Linked DNA regions of Nothobranchius furzeri. The protein of the gene in region 1 binds, or shares a complex with, the protein of each later gene. Links are inferred from orthologs where the notes say so. Each region holds a gene or a part of one and is shown on either strand. Other genes may lie near its edges. The genes, in order: peripheral plasma membrane protein CASK, lin7b, lin7a, lin7c and dlg1b.

The links.
Region 2: the proteins of peripheral plasma membrane protein CASK (region 1) and lin7b are in contact, whole or in part, in an NMR structure (PDB 1Y74), measured with the Mus musculus proteins. The link is inferred for Nothobranchius furzeri from reciprocal best matches to the Homo sapiens genes CASK and LIN7B. Residues at the interface, in NP_001271432.1 of Mus musculus: Ala405, Arg408, Ala409, Glu411, Val412, Glu415, Ile416, Tyr419, Glu421, Asn422, Asp424, Ala425, Glu427, Leu428, Ile431, Leu432, Gln434, Phe437, Ala439, Leu440, Leu441, Thr443, His444, Val447, Ala448; in NP_035828.1 of Mus musculus: Leu10, Asp13, Val14, Arg16, Ala17, Leu20, Leu21, Arg23, Leu24, Ser27, Glu29, Leu30, Pro31, Pro32, Lys34, Leu35, Ala37, Leu38, Val41, Leu42, Ser44, Phe46, Cys47, Ile50, Arg51, Tyr54.
Region 3: peripheral plasma membrane protein CASK (region 1) and lin7a share a complex: the UniProt entries of both Homo sapiens proteins name them as parts of the brain-specific heterotrimeric complex. The link is inferred for Nothobranchius furzeri from reciprocal best matches to the Homo sapiens genes CASK and LIN7A.
Region 4: peripheral plasma membrane protein CASK (region 1) and lin7c share a complex: the UniProt entries of both Homo sapiens proteins name them as parts of the brain-specific heterotrimeric complex. The link is inferred for Nothobranchius furzeri from reciprocal best matches to the Homo sapiens genes CASK and LIN7C.
Region 5: the proteins of peripheral plasma membrane protein CASK (region 1) and dlg1b are in contact, whole or in part, in an NMR structure (PDB 1RSO), measured with the Rattus norvegicus proteins. The link is inferred for Nothobranchius furzeri from reciprocal best matches to the Homo sapiens genes CASK and DLG1. Residues at the interface, in XP_038955489.1 of Rattus norvegicus: Gly339, Ala342, Ala343, Arg345, Ala346, Val347, Gln349, Val350, Ser353, Leu354, Glu356, Ile357, Leu360, Thr361, Asp367, Leu368, Phe370, Leu371, Ser373, Val374, Phe375, Asp377, His379, Leu380, Thr382, Leu383, Leu384, Asp385, Leu386, Tyr387; in NP_036920.2 of Rattus norvegicus: Arg4, Asp7, Thr8, Arg10, Ala11, Leu12, Leu14, Leu15, Tyr18, Lys21, Leu22, Glu26, Asp27, Leu30, Ser33, Ile34, Arg36, Val37, Ser39, Ile40, Phe41, Ser43, Leu45, Phe46, Leu49, Ile50, Gln53, Glu57, Val58, Leu60.

Annotation. Positions count from the first base shown.
Region 1 is NC_091754.1:50,548,322-50,552,481, reverse strand, and holds the start of peripheral plasma membrane protein CASK, read right to left. Parts: upstream 2,801-4,160; 5' UTR 2,569-2,800; coding exon 2,504-2,568; intron 1-2,503. UniProt on the Homo sapiens protein: Multidomain scaffolding Mg(2+)-independent protein kinase that catalyzes the phosphotransfer from ATP to proteins such as NRXN1, and plays a role in synaptic transmembrane protein anchoring and ion channel trafficking.
Region 2 is NC_091758.1:13,884,080-13,888,201, reverse strand, and holds the start of lin7b (protein lin-7 homolog B), read right to left. Parts: upstream 2,806-4,122; 5' UTR 2,662-2,805; coding exon 2,592-2,661; intron 1,575-2,591; coding exon 1,456-1,574; intron 788-1,455; coding exon 716-787; intron 455-715; coding exon 245-454; intron 78-244; coding exon 1-77. Other genes in the region: snrnp70 (U1 small nuclear ribonucleoprotein 70 kDa), read right to left, coding at 3,731-4,122. UniProt on the Homo sapiens protein: Plays a role in establishing and maintaining the asymmetric distribution of channels and receptors at the plasma membrane of polarized cells.
Region 3 is NC_091741.1:40,999,046-41,002,557, reverse strand, and holds part of lin7a (protein lin-7 homolog A), read left to right. Parts: intron 1-2,868; coding exon 2,869-2,987; intron 2,988-3,512. UniProt on the Homo sapiens protein: Plays a role in establishing and maintaining the asymmetric distribution of channels and receptors at the plasma membrane of polarized cells.
Region 4 is NC_091749.1:64,462,147-64,466,329, reverse strand, and holds the start of lin7c (protein lin-7 homolog C), read right to left. Parts: upstream 2,808-4,183; 5' UTR 2,648-2,807; coding exon 2,611-2,647; intron 886-2,610; coding exon 767-885; intron 677-766; coding exon 605-676; intron 512-604; coding exon 302-511; intron 1-301. UniProt on the Homo sapiens protein: Plays a role in establishing and maintaining the asymmetric distribution of channels and receptors at the plasma membrane of polarized cells.
Region 5 is NC_091751.1:34,938,298-34,941,809, forward strand, and holds part of dlg1b (disks large homolog 1), read right to left. Parts: intron 488-3,512; coding exon 324-487; intron 1-323. UniProt on the Homo sapiens protein: Essential multidomain scaffolding protein required for normal development. Recruits channels, receptors and signaling molecules to discrete plasma membrane domains in polarized cells.

The DNA.
Region 1 (4,160 bases):
TCGAAGTTCTTAACGTTTTTGGAATATGTGTTTATATTTCCTTCTATTATTGTTTTTTATTTTTTAGCATAACCCAACAGTGTTGCTGCTTATGACTTTGTTTCACTCTTTGTTCAGTGACAAATAAACTTACTTATTAAAGGTGTGGATCATTCGTTTAATCAAAACATTTGCAGTGGTCTCTAGTAGGATCGAATGCCTTGGAAGTCGTACTCTGGGGAAAAAAGATCTGGTGCGTCTGTTTGAGAAACTAGAAAATGCCACATCAGAGCAGAGCTTCAGATGACAGGATTGGACTCTTACTTCCTTATTCTGGATTCCTTGCCTCTGACTGGCTAACAGCAATGTGATTCTACCACTCACTCCATTTCTTCTGCTATGCTGATGTGTTGCCTCCACAAAGAACACAAGTATGAAGGAGTTCTGGCGTGTGGTGGAGTTGCTAATGCTAAAGGTTAGCTTCTACTAGCAGAGACGTTCTCTGCTGTTTCCTGGACGCTAAACCAACAACAGCCTTCTCCGTCGTGAGTCGAGATGGGGGAGTCCGTGAACGATAAGTGACAGTGTGACGTAGATGTCAGGGCTTTCTAATCCTAGAGTTTCACCGTCTATTTTCGATCAGAAGCTAATGCAGGACATAGGTGTAGGAGACTATTTTCATGTTCAGCCTGCATGAAAATCTCAGTGACTGATTATAATCAGAAATAATAATTAATGTTTTTTAGTGAACCACACCTTTAACAAGGCCAGAACCGTGTCTGAGTCAATGAGAGACAAACTGCTGTTCATCCCGGTACTTGGTTCAAATACCAGAGGGCGTGGCCGCCATATTGTGTTTACTGGTTTCAGATTGCTACCTGGCTCCTGGGGTTGACTCCACTTTATGTGCTTTTTATTGGTTACTAGAAATACCCCAGAAGTGCTTTGGGTAGCATCAACAGGAAAAGCTACCCTACTACAGTCTTTCAGTCACACTAACTGTGTTTAACTGTTACATCCCACCCAGGACTCCCTAAAAAAGGAGCATTTTACTGTGCAGCAATGTTCATGTCTCTGTGTTAAACCTAACAAGTGCCCCTCAGCAGATAAAGATAAGGAATAAATATTTCAAGATTAAGGTCGAGATGTTCAAAAACGGTAAAGGTAGGCTACTCTAAAAGAGGGAATACAAAAAGAAAGTCTTGAATCCACAGAAGTAACTCCACTTCCTTCAATTTTTCACAAAGAGTCTCCAACATATAACAAACGCCTCAAAACAACGTATGACTCTTCTTCAATAGTAAAAGTAAAGCTGCAGCCTAAACATATGGCAAGTAAAATAATACTACTAATAATAAATGTAATATATGTACAAGTCATGCACTAAAATAAAGTTATTTTGAATAAAACCCAATTTAGTTCGGTTGCAAGAATCCATGTGCACAAGGTATTGTGTATGTAGGTCTTAACCAGTGCTGGTTAGAATCTAGTTTTAGTTTTTAGCCACAAAAATCACAGCAATTTTGACTTCATTGTGTAATTTACTTTACATTTCCTTTTATTTATTCTTCTGAGAGCCTCTGATTCTCTGGTATAAGATAGTTTAGACCAAAAGGCTTCTAAAGTTTTCACTTGTTACCATTATCCGATCAACCAGTTTAGTCTAACTCATAATTTCCAGTGCCAATATACACTTGTAGGGGTCCAATCACTTTAGATCCTTATTGGTGCATGACCAAACTTTTTAAACATCTGTGCAAAATATCACAACTACTTCAATTCAAGCTAGGCCATTTGTCATATTTTGACATTTTGAATGAGAACAGCATTTTTATGTCAGTATTGGACGATAATGTCGAGTAATTGTAGTATTATATGCCACCTGATCAGTGCCAAAAGCTGGTATATAATTTTGAATTCAGTGCATTTTTTTTTATTTTGGTTAAATTTGTGAGGCGTGCAGTCGACAATCTTTTTTCAAAACTGATCACCCAACAATATGAAGAATCCTTGGGGGGGACCTGATCACTGGATTTTTTACAAGCTTCACGAGAAAGGATTGTCAAAATGTTGGGGGGGAAAAGCTTCAAATCACTGCACCTTTAATTGCAAATTGTGGAAAATCTGATGCAAATATCAAACATTTTAAACTCCAAATGTCATAAAAAGCATGAATTTAACATCTCTTGTACATAGTCTGTCACACAACCCTTCTTTATTATTTACCTTTGATTTCTGATTGAATCTAACCTAAGAAATAAGTCGCAGCAGACTACAGAAGATGACAGCCACATTTCTCAGGTCTAATGGACAAAGAACTGGACTGCTGATCCAGCTGTGCCTCCAGACTTCCTTTCCTGGACCTCTCTGGGCCTTGAAGCCCCCGTGGACATCAAGATGGCACACACTAACCCGTCTCACCCACTCACTGGACTTTCCCCCTCCATAAACCTGCCTGCACATGACCAAATTACGCTGATTGAAGCTAAATGTGGGGATGTGGAGTCCAGTTGTGCATACTTACTTGCCGATCACCTCGCACAACTCGTAGACATCCTCGAACAGCACGTCGTCGTCCGCCATGGTCATCCAGGTAAACGAGGATGCTCTCCAGAAGAAATCCCTCCCACTCGGGGTTTCAAGTAATCACCGACACCGTGTGGGGTTTTATTTGTTTTGGTTATTCTTCTTTAATTGAGACCGACGACACGAGCTCTGTGCGATTCAAACCTCCACGAGAATGTCAGTAAAGAGTGAAACTGCAGCCACTGAGGACAGCGAATTAGCCGGCTAGCCACATTAGCTCGTTGGCGAAGAAACACCCCTCTCTTTACATGCCTCGGGTTGAATTTGCCTGGTTCGGATCTCCCACGGTAGCATCCGCTTACAGTGCCCGACCGAGACGCGCTCTTCGCCCGGGATTAGGCTAGCTGGCCGAGCTAAAGGCGGTGAGCTTAAATAAAAAATAAGCTAGCTGTCGACGGGATCACCGGTCGTCTAGCACCGCCACTGCGACGTGCACACCCAGTATCACAGATGGCTTATTCCCAACCGAAATGTGTCCGGGGCTGCGGTATGTGCTTCAGCTTCCCGAGCCCAGATCAAAAACCTCCACCTTCATGTCCACGGCCGCTCTGCCCTCGCGTATACCACTCTGTGCTTGAAGAGGATGGAATTATATCGTCATTCGGTAAAGCCAGCACACCCTTTCGTCCACCGTTGCTCCAGTTCTTACGCTGGCTCAGATGCTGCTGGCTGCTGCCTGTTTTCTCCGACTTCCAGAAATGCCTGGCTCCTCCCTCCGCCGTCCAGGAAACTGGATCCGAGCAGATCCAAAATGGCCGCCGAACGGAGCGCAAGCACGGGTTGGAATCGGAGCGACGCTCGAGCCAAGATGGCGTGGGACGAGGGTAGGATTCAGGCGCAGTTTCTTACTAATCTCTTTTAAAGGATCTATCCACTGGATCCCTGCGCAGGCGTCGAGCAGACAAGTCTCACCTTACGTCAGCCTTTCCCCGCTCAGATCCATCATTTTATTCCGCTTTGAATAATGTTTTATGTCATTAATAACTCATTTATTACACACCGATTACCTGCTGTGAATGAAAACACGTTACACAGGCACGAGCACGAATGACATCGGTAACTTCTGCAGTGTATCCCTTACAACAGTCATAAATGCATTTAGAATTTTGATAATTAGGAATAATAGGCTCGATACATGTGTCGTTACAATTTCTATATTCAGTGGATTTTCTTTCTTCTGTTTCTAACAAATCTGAAGCATTTTCTGGTTTGATGGTCATAAAAAATAAAGAAAAAAGCATTAAGCCCTGTGGAGTTTATGGCTGATTTTAATGCAAAAGGTTTTCTAACTGAGATACAGGTGGGATTTCCTCAGGTGTGGGCGGACAGAGTGGAGTTTGATTGAAAACGCCCTCTGGAGGCCGGGCTAGGATCTGCATGCATGTGACATTTAGATTTAACCAAGAAAGTGTGAAACTATGAAGGAAAATCTCAACGTTTTATGACAAAACATAGTCATATTAGTCCATTACAATTAACAATCTGGAGCCACTACAACACCGTATCTAATATTTCACTGGGAGGATGGGAATTATGTGAGAATGCTATCATCGAACTACATTTTAGCACATAGTGTGACTAACCCTGTCGATAGA
Region 2 (4,122 bases), on another chromosome or scaffold:
CGGACCACCAACTTGACCGAACCCTGTGCGGCTTTCAGCAGCTCCACAGCCTTCTCGTGTTGCTCCGCCTCAACGCTCTGCATGGTCACAAGCACACAGCTAGTGAACAACACGATCACTCATGAATCTGAACCACATGCTGCCCACACGGCCTCTAAAACATCAGGAAACTGGGAGGCATGCTGTTTTTTATCTGAACCTTCTAGGGAGCAGAACCTCCTCACAAGGAACCGGAGCTTCTTACCACTCCGTTGACAGACAGCAGCTGGTCTCCTCTCTTCAGCCCTCCTTGGCGATCGGCTACTCCTCCAGGAATAACTCTGGAGATGTAGATCGGGGAGTTCTGCTCTTTCCCCCCCATGATGTTAAAGCCCAGCCCCTCTTCAGTCTTGGGGAGCTCCACCACCCTGGGGTGGGCGTGACCCTCGCTGGCTGCAAAGGCTGCCACGGTGGCCTGAAACAACAAGAACCTCCAATGATCAGCAAAGTGCCAGAACCGGATCGATGGTTGCAGAACATCTTAGTTCTCGCAGCATTCTGATGGAGGTTCTCACACTTCAGTTCAGTTTATTTATGTAGCGCCAAACCGGGACAAGAGGCACTTCACAAGGTAAAGCTGCTTCTGAGCAGGAAGAGCTCCTGTCGGAAACTGGAGGTGTCATCACACTAGAGCCGACTGCATCTGGACTCGGGTCCAGGACTTAGGTTCTAGTACCTTGGCTGTTGCTTGTGCTCGCACCTCTGGTCCTCCAACTATGTCTAGAGTGTCGTACAGCTGCTCGTACACCTGGAGGTCAACAGAACAGACAACAGGTGTCACATCAGGTCTAAGCTGTGTTTACAGGATTCAGTCTGAAGGTTTGTGATTAAACACAACGATTCATGGAGGAAGCACAGGAACGGCTGAGAAACCTCAGATCCTTCAAGACCTGTGACCGCCCTCCTGGTGGACGTGTCCAGTCAGCCGTCATGACCCACTCTGAGTTCATCAGCTGAGTAGGGTGTGTCACCTGGAGTTTCTATAGTTTCACAATATTCTAACTTTCTGACAGAATTAGTCTTTTCCTCATCTGTAGCCAGAACCAAAAGCATCCCACTCCGAGTGATGCATCTACGAATCAAACGGGTCCCACTCACCTCATGATGTTCTAACGTTGGAGCTGTGCCTGTAGATGGAACAGCTTGATTTGACGGAAATCGGACAACAAAAGGCTGTAACACACTTCCTGTAACCAGTGGTGTGTCCAGATCTTTTAAAATGGGGTGGCCCAGGTGAGGCGCATGGGTGGCACCAATGGTTATGCTTTTTTTGTTTTACCCCCAAGCCTTTTGTGGACAATGAAAAGCCTATTTAAAGAAATTAGTGTGTTGGCACCTGGGGTGGCCAATCAGATTCCAAGGGTGGCATGTGCCACCCCAGGCCACTCCCTGGACACGCCCCTGCCTGTAACGTACCTCCCTGATGGCGGCGCAGAATTTGCTCTGGAGGACTCTCTGCAGGGCTTGCAGCTTGGGAGGGGGCAGCTCCCCGGTCCGCTGCAGCCGGTCCAGCAGCTCGATCACCCGGCACACATCTAAAAGACAAACCTGGGTTACACCGGGCTTCACCCGTAGCCCCCACCCATTACTCCTGCTGGGTCCGGAGTGATGTAGCCGTCCACCTTCTTCAGATATTCTGGTTCTGTAGACGGTTAGCCATCACCCAATGGTCAGTCTGGATCTGAAAGAGCATGACCAGCACCATCCATCACCAACCAACAGAACCACATGGACACACAGCTTTCTGCTGAGCAGGGCTACGCCTTGATGCTGGCTCGGTCCATGGCTGTGCCTCTGGACCAGAACCACAGCAGTCAGATCTGTGCTCTGGATCTCTGCAGGGAGAGCTGAGTGCTCCAGAACCATAGAGGGACTGGATATACTTCATAGAAACCCAAAGTCGACAAGGACCCGGTTCAGCTGAACGTCTCAATCCCTTTGGAACCCACAGCTAGGTTCTGCTGAACTAAACTCATATGTAGGTTTGGTTCTGTTGGGTTTTTAGACTACCAAACTGAGTCGGTGACCCAGGGCTGGTCTGGCTGACCCTAAACCAGTCCTGGTCCTGAGAGGCCAACATCCGGTCAGCTCCAACACTGATGATCAGAACCAACCCAGAAGGTCAGTTGTGCGGCGGTCAGAACCTGAGTTTCAAATTAAAAGCCTCATGAAAATATGGCTTTAGGAAAGGGTCACGTGACATAAATGTAACATTTTTACTACTGAGCTAATATTTACCCACTCACACCTGAGACGTCTCGGTTCGGAACAAGCTAGTTGGTACCGGTCCGGATCATAATGGTCCATCTTTGCAGGTGGCTATATAGAGCCGGTCCGGTTCCGACAGGCTACCGGAACCGCTCAGACATTAAACATGCAGCTGAAAACGGAACCTGGACAGGCCCAACCCGTCTGTGCTAGGCTCCCGAGTCCGAACAGAACCGCGTGAAGCAGGAAGCTCCAGAGCGGCTCACATTTGACATCAGTACATGTTTAGTCTCTGGATCCGGGATGCAAACCCGACCCAGTTCTGCTGCAGACCCGAAACCTACCTCTTTCCAGGCAGAGCGGTTCGGTCGTAGCCGACATGTCGGCTTCCTTAGGGTGGTAGGAGGACATCATCCTGAGGTCCTTGTCTGATGGTCACGGCAGGTTCTGGTCCAGGAGTCTCACAGCTGCTCTGATGAGGGCATGATGAGACCGGGCTGGTTCCGAGAGGCTGAGAGAAGCGCAGCAGCAGCAGCCCCCTCCGGGTCAGAGCTGTTCTGGACCGAACCACTGGGGAGGTTCTCATCACAACCTCGTAGGTGAGACAGTCCAGACCGTTCAGCTGGACGGAACCGGTGGGGTAAACCTGAACTCTAAAACTAGAACAGGAAACGTTACGGGCCAGGTCCACGTCAGAACCTGAACCCAAACCCGAGAATAAAATAATCAGCAGCAGATAACTTAATCCGACGTGAGGCTGCAAGTACAGAACCGGGACCAGCAGTCAGCCCCGCAGGACCCACATCTGTAGTTCTGGCGATGAAACCACTTCAGAACCTCTACGGTCTGGGTCAAAATAAAACTAGAACCTCGACTCAGTAGAAACTGAACAGTGGGTTCTCCATCCTGGTTCTGGAGGACCGGTATCCGGCAGGTTTTGGTTCCTCTGCTCAAACACCTGTTCGGCAGCACACGAAGCTCTGTGGATTAAAGGCAGGGAAAGGTCTAAAACATGCTGGAAACCGGGTCTCCAGGACCAGGACTGAGAACGTGTTTTATAAAAATATGAGTCAGAACGTCGTCCTGGTCAGCAGGACGTTCAGAAAACGTTTAGGGATTAAAGTGTGTGTGTGTTGCACCAGCACCTCAGGCAAAAGGCTGTGTACTAAAATAATCACCACTGTCACAATCAAGACATCTTTATTAAAATGACCTGCAGATATAAAAAAAAGATGAAAAACCAAAACAGGCTCAGCTGCTCCACCACAACACGTCTGCTTCTAACACCTCTAAACACACCTGGCTCCGGCTTTAAGCTCCACCCCCGACGAGCAGGGCGATCAGCGGACCTCAACATGGTTGCCATACGAGCGGAAAAAGGAAAGCTAACTAAATGTTTGGATCCTTAGGAGGTTCTGGAGGCCTGGGACAGGAAGTGGAGGGCTTGTTTAGGGGGACTTCCTGTGGGATGGGGACCTCATGCTTAGTACTCATCTGGTGCCTCCATCTTGTATCCGTTTTCGCCAGATCCATAGTCATCAGCTGACGGTGCAGACTGCTGCTCCATCATTCCATCCTGACTGTATTCCTCCATGTTTGGCGGAGCGCTGTCCTCCTCATTACCCATGTCCTCTTGAGGACCCATGTCTTCTCGATTGGACCCGTGGCGCTCCTCCCTCCGCTCCCCCCTGTCTCTGTCCCCACGCTCCCGCTTGTGTTCCCTATCTCTGTCTCGTTCCCTCCGCCGGTCTCTGTCCCTGTGACTGCGCCTCCTGTCTCGGTCTCGGTCTCTGTCCCTGTCCCTCTCTTTGCGCTCCTCTGTGGCCTCAGCCACCTCCCCTTCATTTTCCTCCAACATGCGCTCAGTTCCCTCAG
Region 3 (3,512 bases), on another chromosome or scaffold:
CAGTGGTTAGAGTAACTGACAGACTGGCATGCTGTTTTTTAGTTTGACTCCCGGTTGCAACAGTAACTTTTTTCTTCTCCTTTAGCCGCACTTGCCAGTATTGTGTTTTTAACCCTTTATTGGTAAACAATTCAAATTATACGTTTTTTTTTCTCCCCCTTTCTTTGTTTATTTAGCCAGTGTGACTCCATGTTAGGTCAGTAGAGTAAATCAATAAAATGCTGCTTGGAAACGACCAAATTCAAAGATCTTAACAAACACAAAATAATTTACAGAAAAGAATCAATAAAAGTAAAATATGAAAACATGAACTCAGCTTCAGCTGGCTACATAAATTACTGCCGACACTGGGAGTTGAACTGGCATCGGGACACGGAAAAACAACACGAAAGGCAGATGCTTTAGATTATCAAACACAATACAGCAACTGGCTTGCCTGCGATGCTGTTGTAGGCATGTTTTGTCTGAGCGGATGTGGGCGGAGCTTCACTGAATCAAATCATTTCATTTCCTGGTATAAATTCAGGCTGAAAAAAGTAACTCATGTTTAAAATAAAATGACATCTCAATGGTGCCAATGGTAATATTTTATATAATGCAATCTGGCTCCTTTAATATAATTATTGGATGTGCATTTACAACTTCTGGAGTCAGTGTGATCCAGTCAAGAAGTGTAAAAGTTGTACAAACTCGATCGGTTTTACAGATTTTGAGCTAAAATCTGGTGTTCTAATAGTAAATAAGTAAATTTTATTTCTACAGCACTCATCACAGACATAGAATCACAAAGTGCTTCACATGGATCAAAACAAAAGAAAACAAAGTCACAAAATCATAAACAGATTAACATCATAACATCAAAATGCTCTCAAAACAGAATCAGATTAACGTCAGAAAAAATAAAGTCACAAAATTATAAATTTTTCATAAACGGATGAAAGATGAAAATTTTGAGTTAAAAATAAGAAAATAAAAGGTTTAGTCAAAAGCAGCTTTAAATAAAATGGTCTTTAGCTGTTTTTTTAAAAGTGTCCAGACTGTCAGTGCTGTGTAAGGATAAAGGAAGATCATTCCAGAGTCGGGGTGCAACAGTCTGGAAGGAGCGATCACCTCGACTTCTATATCTTGTCATGTCTGCGTCTGTGACTTCCCCATGTGTCTCCTTATGTCCTCCATCCCTCTTTAGATTCCCCTTTTGTTGTCCTCTGGCACCCTCATGTGTCTTTTGTCTGCGTCCGTTATGTGTCTTATGTTGGTAGTCCTTTAAGTCTATTCCTCCCAGGTCTTGGTCTCATTTACATTCTGTGTCCTTGTAGTCCCCAGCTTCTTTGTCCCCAGCTCTGTGTGTGTAGTTCTGATGGTGTGTGTGTGTGTTAGTCCTTCCCGCAGCCTCTTGGTTTAGTTTTGTGTTTTAGGTTATTTGGCCCTCCTCTGTTTCTGTTTGCCCATGTTGGTTATTAGATTCACCTGTCTTCCCTCCAGCCCTCACTTCACACACCTGCCGCCATTTTCCCTAATCACCTCCCTGTGTATATAAGCTCTGTCTTGTCTGTGTCTGGTGTCGGTTCATTGTTGTATATATATATATATATATATATATATATATATATATATATATATATATATATATATATATATATATATATATATATAGATTCTGTCTGTGTTTGCTCGTGCTCTTGGTTAGCTTTATTTCTCCAGCCTTGGAGTTTTTGGACTTTAACTCGCTGCCTGGATTTATTGTGTTCACCCTTCCAAAAATAAAGGATTTTACTTTAATCATCTCCTGCCTCGTGTCATCCTGGGTTTCTGCAATTTGGGTTCTACCATCCCTCCAAAACGTGACATATCTGGTCTCTGGAACTTCTAGAAGGTTCTGGTGTGTGGACCTGAGGGCTCGGGTTGGAACATAAGGCTTTAACAGTTCAGTAACATAGGGAGGAGCCTGACCTTGTAGAGCATTGAAAGTTCTAGTCAGAACTCTAAAATGAACTCTAAAGTTAACGGGTAACCAGTGCAGAGACATCAGAATAGGAGTGATGTGTGCTCTTCTGTTTGCTCCAGTTAGGAGCCTCGCTGCAGAGTTCTGGACCAACTGAAGGCGGTCAAGGTTTTTTTTGTTAAAACATGTGAAAAGTGTGTTACAGTAATCTAGACGGGAGGAGTGTGGATGACCATTTAAAGTTCATGTTTTGACTCTAATAGCTAAGAGTCATCATCAACACATGCAATACTACAATCATGGGACTGTTTACAATGTTCTTATAAAAATATGAAACGTTGGTGTTTAAGACTCATGGGGAGATTCATTCAAGGTGTGCTAGACTTTTAAATAATAACGTAATGATCAAATATTGCAGTTTTTTACTCAGCTAAAAAAAAATCCCATGACTTATGTGTCTGTAAATGGAAAATATTGTGTCTTGTAGGGTATTGCAGGGAATCAGAATATGTCCCCAACTCAAAGTCACATAAAAACTAAGTTCACCTTGAACTCATAAAAGTTTGTATTTACGGCTCAGATCTGTAGGAATAATACAGAGCAGAAAACTATTTAAGTTGCAGCAGCTTCGCCTTCTTTGTAGTAGTTTCAGGAAAATATTTGCTTAAATCCTGGACCCCCCCCCCCCCCCCCCCCCCCCCCGTTTCTATGTGCCGACTGAAGTCGATGCAAATGATTCCAGGATTGCATTCCCACTCCATCATCCCTGCAGCTGCTGGCCTTGAATAAGTCTATTTCCATTAAAGCACCCATTGATTTGCGCTAGCGCCTTTGTCATTGCCGTGCTGTTAATGTAATTGAATTTTTTTCTCCCGCATGCACATTCACTCATACCAATGGTCTCTCTCCCTCCCTCCTCCTGCCAGATGTTGCGCGGGCTATCGAGCTGCTGGAGAAGCTGCAGGAGTCGGGGGAAGTTCCTGGGCACAAGCTGCAGTCCCTGAAGAAGGTGCTGCAGAGCGAGTTCTGCACAGCAATCAGAGAGGTGAGTCAGATGAGTCCTCCTCGTCCGTGACCTTTCTACACCAACCCTTCATCCTGCAAGTCTTATCATCTCTCTGCTCCCACGCAGTCACTGTGCCCCAGGTTGTGATGATTTTTTTCTCAGTCACCCTGTCGAAGTACTTTATCATCTCTGTGTTTTTGTTGCAGTCAAGAAATGGAAACAGTTGTAAAAAGTTTTCATGGTTCTATCAAAAAGACAAATATTACATCTTGCAGCTTAAATGCAAAGCTGCGGTGGAATGCACATCGTCATCTTCCTCCTCTTATCCGGGTCCGGGTCGCGGGGGCAGCATCCCAACTAGGGAGCTCCAGACCGTCCTCTCCCCGGCCACCTCCACCAGCTCCTCCGGCAGGACCCCAAGGCGTTCCCGGACCAGATTGGAGACGTAACCTCTCCAACGTGTCCTGGGTCGACCCGGGGGCCTCCTGCCGGCAGGACATGCCCGAAACACCTCCCCAGGGAGGCGTCCAGGAGGCATCCTGTCCAGATGCCCAAACCACCTCA
Region 4 (4,183 bases), on another chromosome or scaffold:
GGGGCTTCCTCGTCCTCCTCATCAAGCTAACTAATGGAGATGTAATCGGACTCAGACTTTATACCTGCTTATGAGTGATCACAGGATTATGAACACGTAGCCCTTTAAAAACCAGAATATTAAAAAAACTTCTAACACTAAAAGTCAGTCGTTTGGGCTTTTCTGTATGCAGAAATTTCTGAAGATGCATGGATTATCCCTCCCCAAAAAAGCAACATGCTCTAAAACCTGATACGTGCTTCATATTAAGATTCAAATTTACAATTCTTGACCTAATAATGATTCTCTGAGCTGCACGTACCACCCCATTAACAGAGAGAAGCTGGTCGCCTCTTTTCAGGCCTCCATGTCGGTCAGCGATGCCTCCTGGGATGATCCGCGAGATGTAAATAGGCGAGTTTTGCTCCTTTCCGCCCATTATATTGAAACCCAGACCTTCTTCTGTCTTGGGCAGTTCCACAACACGAGGATGGGAGTGTCCTTCACTTGCTGCAAAAGCTGCCACAGTAGCCTTTGAAAATAAAACAAACTCTTTAAAAATGTACAACAATTGATGCATAAAGTAGTTTTGAGACGGAGGAGATTTCTTGTGTATGAGCTTTACTTTAGCTGTGGCGTTGGCTCTGACCTCAGGACTGCTGTTGATGTCTACCGTTTCATACACATGCTCATAAACCTGAGGGGGAAAAAGCACCAAACGAACAGAACTTTATAACAAGGAGGAAGAAAAATCTGTGGAGTTTAGAGTTGGAATGAAGAGTCTCACCTCTCTGACAGCGTTACAGAATTCACTCTGTAGGACTCGCTGCAGCGCCTGCAGCTTCTGCGGAGGCACTTCCCCTGTTCTCTGCAGCTTATCAAGCAGCTCAATTGCACGATTGATATCTATCAAAGAGAGCATAATGCCATCACAGCTTACACACAGTCCAAAACAAACCACTATAAAAGATTAAAATGAGCATTAAATTTGCCTGTATTGATGCCAGCACTCAAGTCTTAAAAGTAAAAGCAGAAAAGGTGCTCGATAAATCTACGTAAAAGGACTATTTGATTTATATTCTTGTCTTTTACTGGACATGTCTTTAAATATTCTAAGACTTCCATTGGGTTTGTTCTGAAAGAAGTGATCTGCATAAGTGAAATGAAGCAGATTCAAAATCCTGAATGGTGTTGAAAAATAAAAAAAGAGAACATCTGCTGGGTAAAAATTTTTAAGAAAATTTTAAATAGTTCAGAGGGTTTTTATATCAACCAGTAAAAAATTACATGTGAAATAAATGACTGTAAAATATAAACAGCACCCCCTACTGCACAGGAAGGCCAAAACTTGTTTATCAATCACACTCATTATGTATTATTAAAGGTGCAGTATGTGGAAATATAGTGAGAATTTTACAGCGAGAAAATCCCAAATGAGTCATGTTTTGGTCATTTTGCGAGGAAAGTTCTACTGAAACATATTTCATTTCCAGCTGGCTGCAGGGATTATCAGTTTTTTTCTTTTTTCAAAACAAAGGAAGGAGGGACATAGTTATTGTTTACCATCAGTGAGTTGGGTTGTCGTGTCTCCTGCGAGCTAACACTGCAGCGCAGACAACTGTAATTTGACGACGGCCGGCAAAAAGCTCCAGAGTTTTTTAATGTGGTTGACGTAACCAAATTTTACCAAAGGATGTCATTTTTACTTAATTTCTACATAATGCACATTTAAAGTCATCTCGATTGAGCGGCACAGACCGATGTTAAATGATCAGATTCCTGACATTTATTAACTAAATGTTTGTTTATGTATTTAGCAGACGCTTTTGTCCAAAGCGACTAACAAGTGATAATCGGCATAAATGGAAGAGAAACGAGTTCCCACAACAGATTTGATCATTTGAACACTTTTAAAGCCACTAGAGACGAGTACATTTAAGGCTAAAATACACATCACCTACTTTCAACGGTTTCTAAGTGATTAAAAACAACCTGCAATTTTTCAAAATATCAAAAAATTAAGATATGTAGCAGGATACTGGCAGAAATAAAGTTTGCATTACAAATATCTCTTCATGAGCTCCCAGTTCAATTCAGAAATATATTTAAAATCGATTTCAAAAAGCACTCAGTAAACAAGCTCCGATTAAAGATTTCTTAGTTTTTCTTTGATGTTTGTGACCAGAGCTGGCTCACAATGAAAGTCGGACTGATACTTTCACTTGTTTTTACACAGATGTGACAATTACAGCTTATTTCACTTTAACAAATGCAATTTGCGTCATGTTCGACGTGTAATTTCTGAGAAGCAAAACGTGCCTTTACTGCTTTAATGACAATATTATACCTCGCATTTATTTCCCAACATACTGACTGGGCTGGTCAATCGCTGCTGTTATTAGCTACTTAGCTAGTGAGCGAATTAAACAAATACCGCTAAGGTATGCTTCGTTTAGCTTGGTCAAGTAAAACGCAGCTCTACGGGCAATATCAGATATATACATTTATGACAAGCAAATGTCAAAATATGTACCAAAAAACAACTCCCAGTTTGATTCAAACAACTAGAGCTAAACTGGGTAAACGTCTCTCGTTCACAACAAATAAAGCTAGCTAGCTAATTAACATTACCTCTTTCCAGTCGCACAGGTTCCCCCAGAGATGCCATTCTCGAAATGAGAGGCTATCTGGTATTAAATAGATACTGCGATACAAGAAATATACAAAAAAAAAAAAAAAAAAACTAAATTCGTAAATCCAGCCGACCGTTTCGTACGCTTAACTGGCACGATAAATCAGATTAGCTAAGTTAGCTCGGCTAGGCTAGCTGCCAGTGTCATGGTGCGTTCAGGGACCCTAGTAAAGCTGATTACTCGGTGGACAAAGCATTCTGTTGACATTTTTAGGTAATTATAAATGACAGATTGAATTCTGCGTATTTCTTATCTTGTTTATTTGTATTGATGTGAAATTTTAAGAGATCAGACGCAGCAACAAAATCACAAATTTTGTAGCAGTTACTTCTGTAACTAAATCTGGAACAGAAAACTTCATTTTAGAAGTTTAGTGTCATTCTGAATACTTTTAGTTCAAGATTAGGTTTCTAGGTTTGATTTAGCTTTATAGAAATATGAATGAGATGATGATGAGTAACCAAAGCAACATTTTTATTGATATTTTTCACTTTCTTAATAGCAAATAATAATTTCAGCTCATCAAACTCAGTTTTTCCAGTCTTCATCAGATTGCACCCTGTCAGTGTCTGGACACCAGGAACCTTGTTAGGAAGCTTGAATGAATGTTCTGGATGGTATCCAGGAAAGCTGATGGGAGGAGCAGCCTCTTTAGTGCCCTCCTCTGGTTTGCTGCAGCTCTTCTAGAGGCTCTGGTTCATAAATCAGCAGAAAACAGCTGCTCTCTGTGGGCTGAAACTTTGCAGGATGATTCATTTCTGACCCCACCCCAGCTGGTGATGAAACACAAACAATTTACCTTGAAAAGCTGGTGGTGAAAAACGGAACCCTGCTGTGACGTACGACTGGATCTCCAACACTGTGCTGCATCAGTAATTTCCTTTATTGGACAACAGATGCTCTGATTTGCTTGTTTTCATTCATCAGGGACAAACCTGGGTCAAATAAATGCCACAGTATTCATGTATTGTCTCTAAGCTCTTTTGATGCTCACATTAAATCTATAATTAGACGTCTTCTTGCTTGCAGAGTGCAACGAAAATGGCCCAAGGTCTCTGTTCAGAGAAACTGGAGCACATACTTTATGGAGCAAGCTTCCCTGTTTGATTCATTGTATTTTTTTATGCAGAGGATACGTTAGTACTTGACTAGGGCAAAACGGCTTCAACTCCAACTTAAGGTGGAATTTCTTTGAAGAGCAGGGCAGTTTTTTTTCCTGCAGCTGCATTGTGGCCTTGAAAAGAAGCCCGTTGTTTGATGTTTACGACAGCAGCACATTTAAGGATCTACTGCATGCTTGTCGTCTCTCTTTGAGTCTAAGTAGTTTAAATTGTGCTTCAAACAAAGCAAAACAAAGATACCTCACAGAATTCCAACTGCTGTCACTGGTGGGTCCATCAAGGCAGAGTTTATTTTTCTTCGTTCGGCAGATCTCAGAAAGTTGCAGCGTCCTCGTTAGTCGCACTTACCTTCAGGTTGGAGAGGAGGAAGTAAAATGAAGTGTTTCTCCG
Region 5 (3,512 bases), on another chromosome or scaffold:
TGTTTCTGTCTGAACCACCGGTACCGACCCATTTCTCCTGTCCGATCAGATCCTGAGGACCTCACAGGAGAACTTGGGAGTCGGTTCTGTTAGAGCAGCTTCAGTTCTGCTTTATCTAAAATTCTAGTTTTATCCATTTCTACTTTAACTCTTTGTGCATCTACTGGACCTTCAGAACCGGGACATGAGAGAAACACGCCTGAGTCCAGAATGTTCCGACCAGTTCCAGCAGGACCGATCTGTTCTTACGCCTTTAAGCGCCTCGTGACTTTTATCTTGAGAGGCGCTATAGAAAAGCTCTTTCTTCTTCTTCGTCATCTTACCTCGATGCTGGTGCTAAGGCTGGGCAGAGTCTCCGAGGTCACCGTTGTGCTCTGAAGACTCGGGAAGTCCCACAGGTGGACAGGCGCCATGGGGTCCGCCCCCTTGGAAGACTCCGCCCATCTCTGACTGTCCAATAAGGTCACTTCGTAAAATTCCTGGATATCTGGGAGGACAGAGCATGGGACAGGGACAGGGACATGCTTTAATCAGACCATAAACTAAAAGTTTGAAAGCTGCAGAAACTCGTCTGGAATCCATAAACCTGATGATTAGGGAAGTCCCGTTCTGATATCGATATCGGCCCAAAAACAATCAGATTATATCGGGCGGCATCAAAACCTCCCATATAAATACAGTTATTGCAACAAAGGTAAAGAAAAAAGTGTCACTTTTTTCATACTTACTGTAATCGGCTCTTGTTCTCCGAATGAGTAAAATCACTGTGGCATTCCTGCTGGTATCGGTCAGTACTGAAGGTTGCCATATCGGTGTTGTGTCGGAAGTGAAAAGTTGTATTGGGACATCACTACTGATAACTAATCTGATCAGAACTGGACCGGTACCGATTCACATACTGCACATACAAGACCTCAGAACTGGGTCAGCACCAGAACCACAGGAGTCTTCTTCAGCTCCTGATCAACATTTCATAAAGATTAAAAAAGAAAAAGCAGCATCTCTTTTCTCTGCTGACCCGACCCGTACCGACCCAGATGATGGGAACCAGAGGATTACATTATCAGAACGGGAATTATTTAGGAATAAAAGCAGCTGCTGGGAACTCAAACACATTAATCGGGATTGGGATGAGGGAATCTGAACATATTCATCTGAAACTTCAGATTTAGACTCTACAGCAACGGTTTCTACTTCCTGTAGTGCTTTAAGAATAAAATTGTTTCTATTCACTTAAATTTAACCATTCAAAGTTGATTCATTTGCTTGGAAGTAGGGTTGTCACGGTAACCGGTGTAGCGGTAAACCCCAATAAAAAAATTGACAATAATAATAACCGTCTTGTTTTAAAAAAAAAATATTATCTCGGTGGATTACCGTGGCTGTGGTGTAGGCGCGGTGACCCTTACCAGCCACTGTATCATCTGCTGAAGTTGCAGGCGGCACATGCGCACTTTGTTGTTTAAAATCCAAACTTTCTTGAAGCTAAAGCTGAAATAATGGCCAAAGGAGGAGACGGCAGCGCTCAGGACATTTATTATCCCTCAAAGAAGACAAAGTGTGAAGTGTGGGCATTTTTTTGGGATATTTGAAGAATGCCGAGGGACATTTGATAGAAGACGGCTATCCTGTTTGCAGCACGTGCAGAAAAAGTTTCTGTGAAAGGCAGCAACGCCTCATATCTCATGACACATCTGCGTGACCATCACCCACAACTCTACAGTCAACGCAAGGCAAGCTAACGTTAGCGTTTTAGCTAAAATGTGTGATCCGAGGATTTGGGTGGAGGGAGAATGCAACGAGTCGCTAAAGCAGCCTGCATAAAAACCGTGTTGCGGACACCCCCATGTTGAAATGACGCTATGCATTACGGGGCTCCCAGGGGCAGATAAGAGTTGGTCTCTCTCCGAGAATAATTATGAATTTAACAATGATTACTGCCTGATGACATTTTCCCACATCTGCAAAGCTCACTGGAAGGACACAAACCGAAGACAATATTTTCCTGATATAGGGTTTATTACTCAAGTAAGGGTAAAAAAGTATCTGATTAGAAGGCTACTTGAGTACTGAGTATCATTTGGTCTAATATTTTTAAAATGATGACATCAAGCAGACAAAAAATAAGAAGTTATGGGCAAATATTGGTGTTTTAAAGACTAAAGGGAAAAAATGTAAACAAATAAACAACATAATTACAAAATAACACGTTTTAGGCAAAATTTTGACACAAACTGAGGACAATATTTTCCTGATATACAGGGTTTATTTAATTGTCTGAAAATGTAGCACGTTTAAAAAAATACGGAAAACCGTGATATTTTGGTCACAATAACCGTGAGGTTAAATTTTCACACCGTGACAACCCTAATTGGAAGTGAAATCGTTATGAGCCAATTATCTTTAAACCAGAAGTTCCTGTTTGTGGGATTTTGGAGGTAAATTCAGGGAGAATTTGAATCCCATGATTCCCGTAATTCCCTTCCCTTCTGTGGGAGATAATTAGTCTTTCCAGGGGGATATTTTAGCACCGATGCCTTCTTTATTTTTGGACTCTGTTCAGAGCTTCCAGAGAAGGAACGTCTAAAATAACCATGGAAGCAGGAGCTGACCGCCAGCAGGCACAGATGTTTCCTCTCAGACCGCTGGCCTTTAAAGCTGCTCCAGGCTCGGTTTTCCAGCCAGGCTCCAAGCAGAACCCGCTCCTTCACCCTCAAACATTTAGGCTACGGAATCTTCTCCAGCCTTCTGGTTCCTCCATCCCAGAATTCCAGACATGAAAAACGCTCCGAACGGTTTTATTCCTCCAGCCTGATCGGATCGACGGGATTCAAATCTGGTGGTCGCAAGATTAAGGTCATAGGTCACAGGGATTTATTCTGGGAATCATAAAAAGTCTAAAAACTTTTCAAGGAAACAGAAGCAGCAACGAGCAGATGAAGGGAACGTCGGAACACGCGAGGACCATCAGCTATGGGTCAGAACCAGAACTCGGGTTTCATGTCGCTTATAGTTCCTGAGGAAGAGGATTTTCATCGGAAGAGGTTGGAGGAGTCGAGGAACGCTGAGATGTTTCTGCAGAAGCAACACGAGCTCCAAGCCCGGAACCGTCCCTACGGGTTCTACGGTTCTAATGGATCATTTTATTAGAAAAGAGTCAGACTCATTCCTGTTGATCTTCAGACAAGATCTGAACCAGAACCTTCAATAATCACAGACCCGACCCAGTTCTAGCAGAGCAGACCCATCTGAGGAGCAGAACCAGGTGTGATGATTTTAATTCCAAATAAAGGTCCAAAGCCCGAGATTTGTCCTAACCCGGCAGCACCAGAGACACGGATCCACGTGGAAAACACTCCGCCTACAAGTCAACGGGCTTCAGACAGGCGGTTCAACTCCCACCAGATCAGAACCGACTCCAGAACCCAGAAAACATCAGAATCTCTCACTAACGGTTCGCTTTTAGTCTGAATGAAAAACCGTTAAAACGACACAAAGGACTGGCTGCTGGG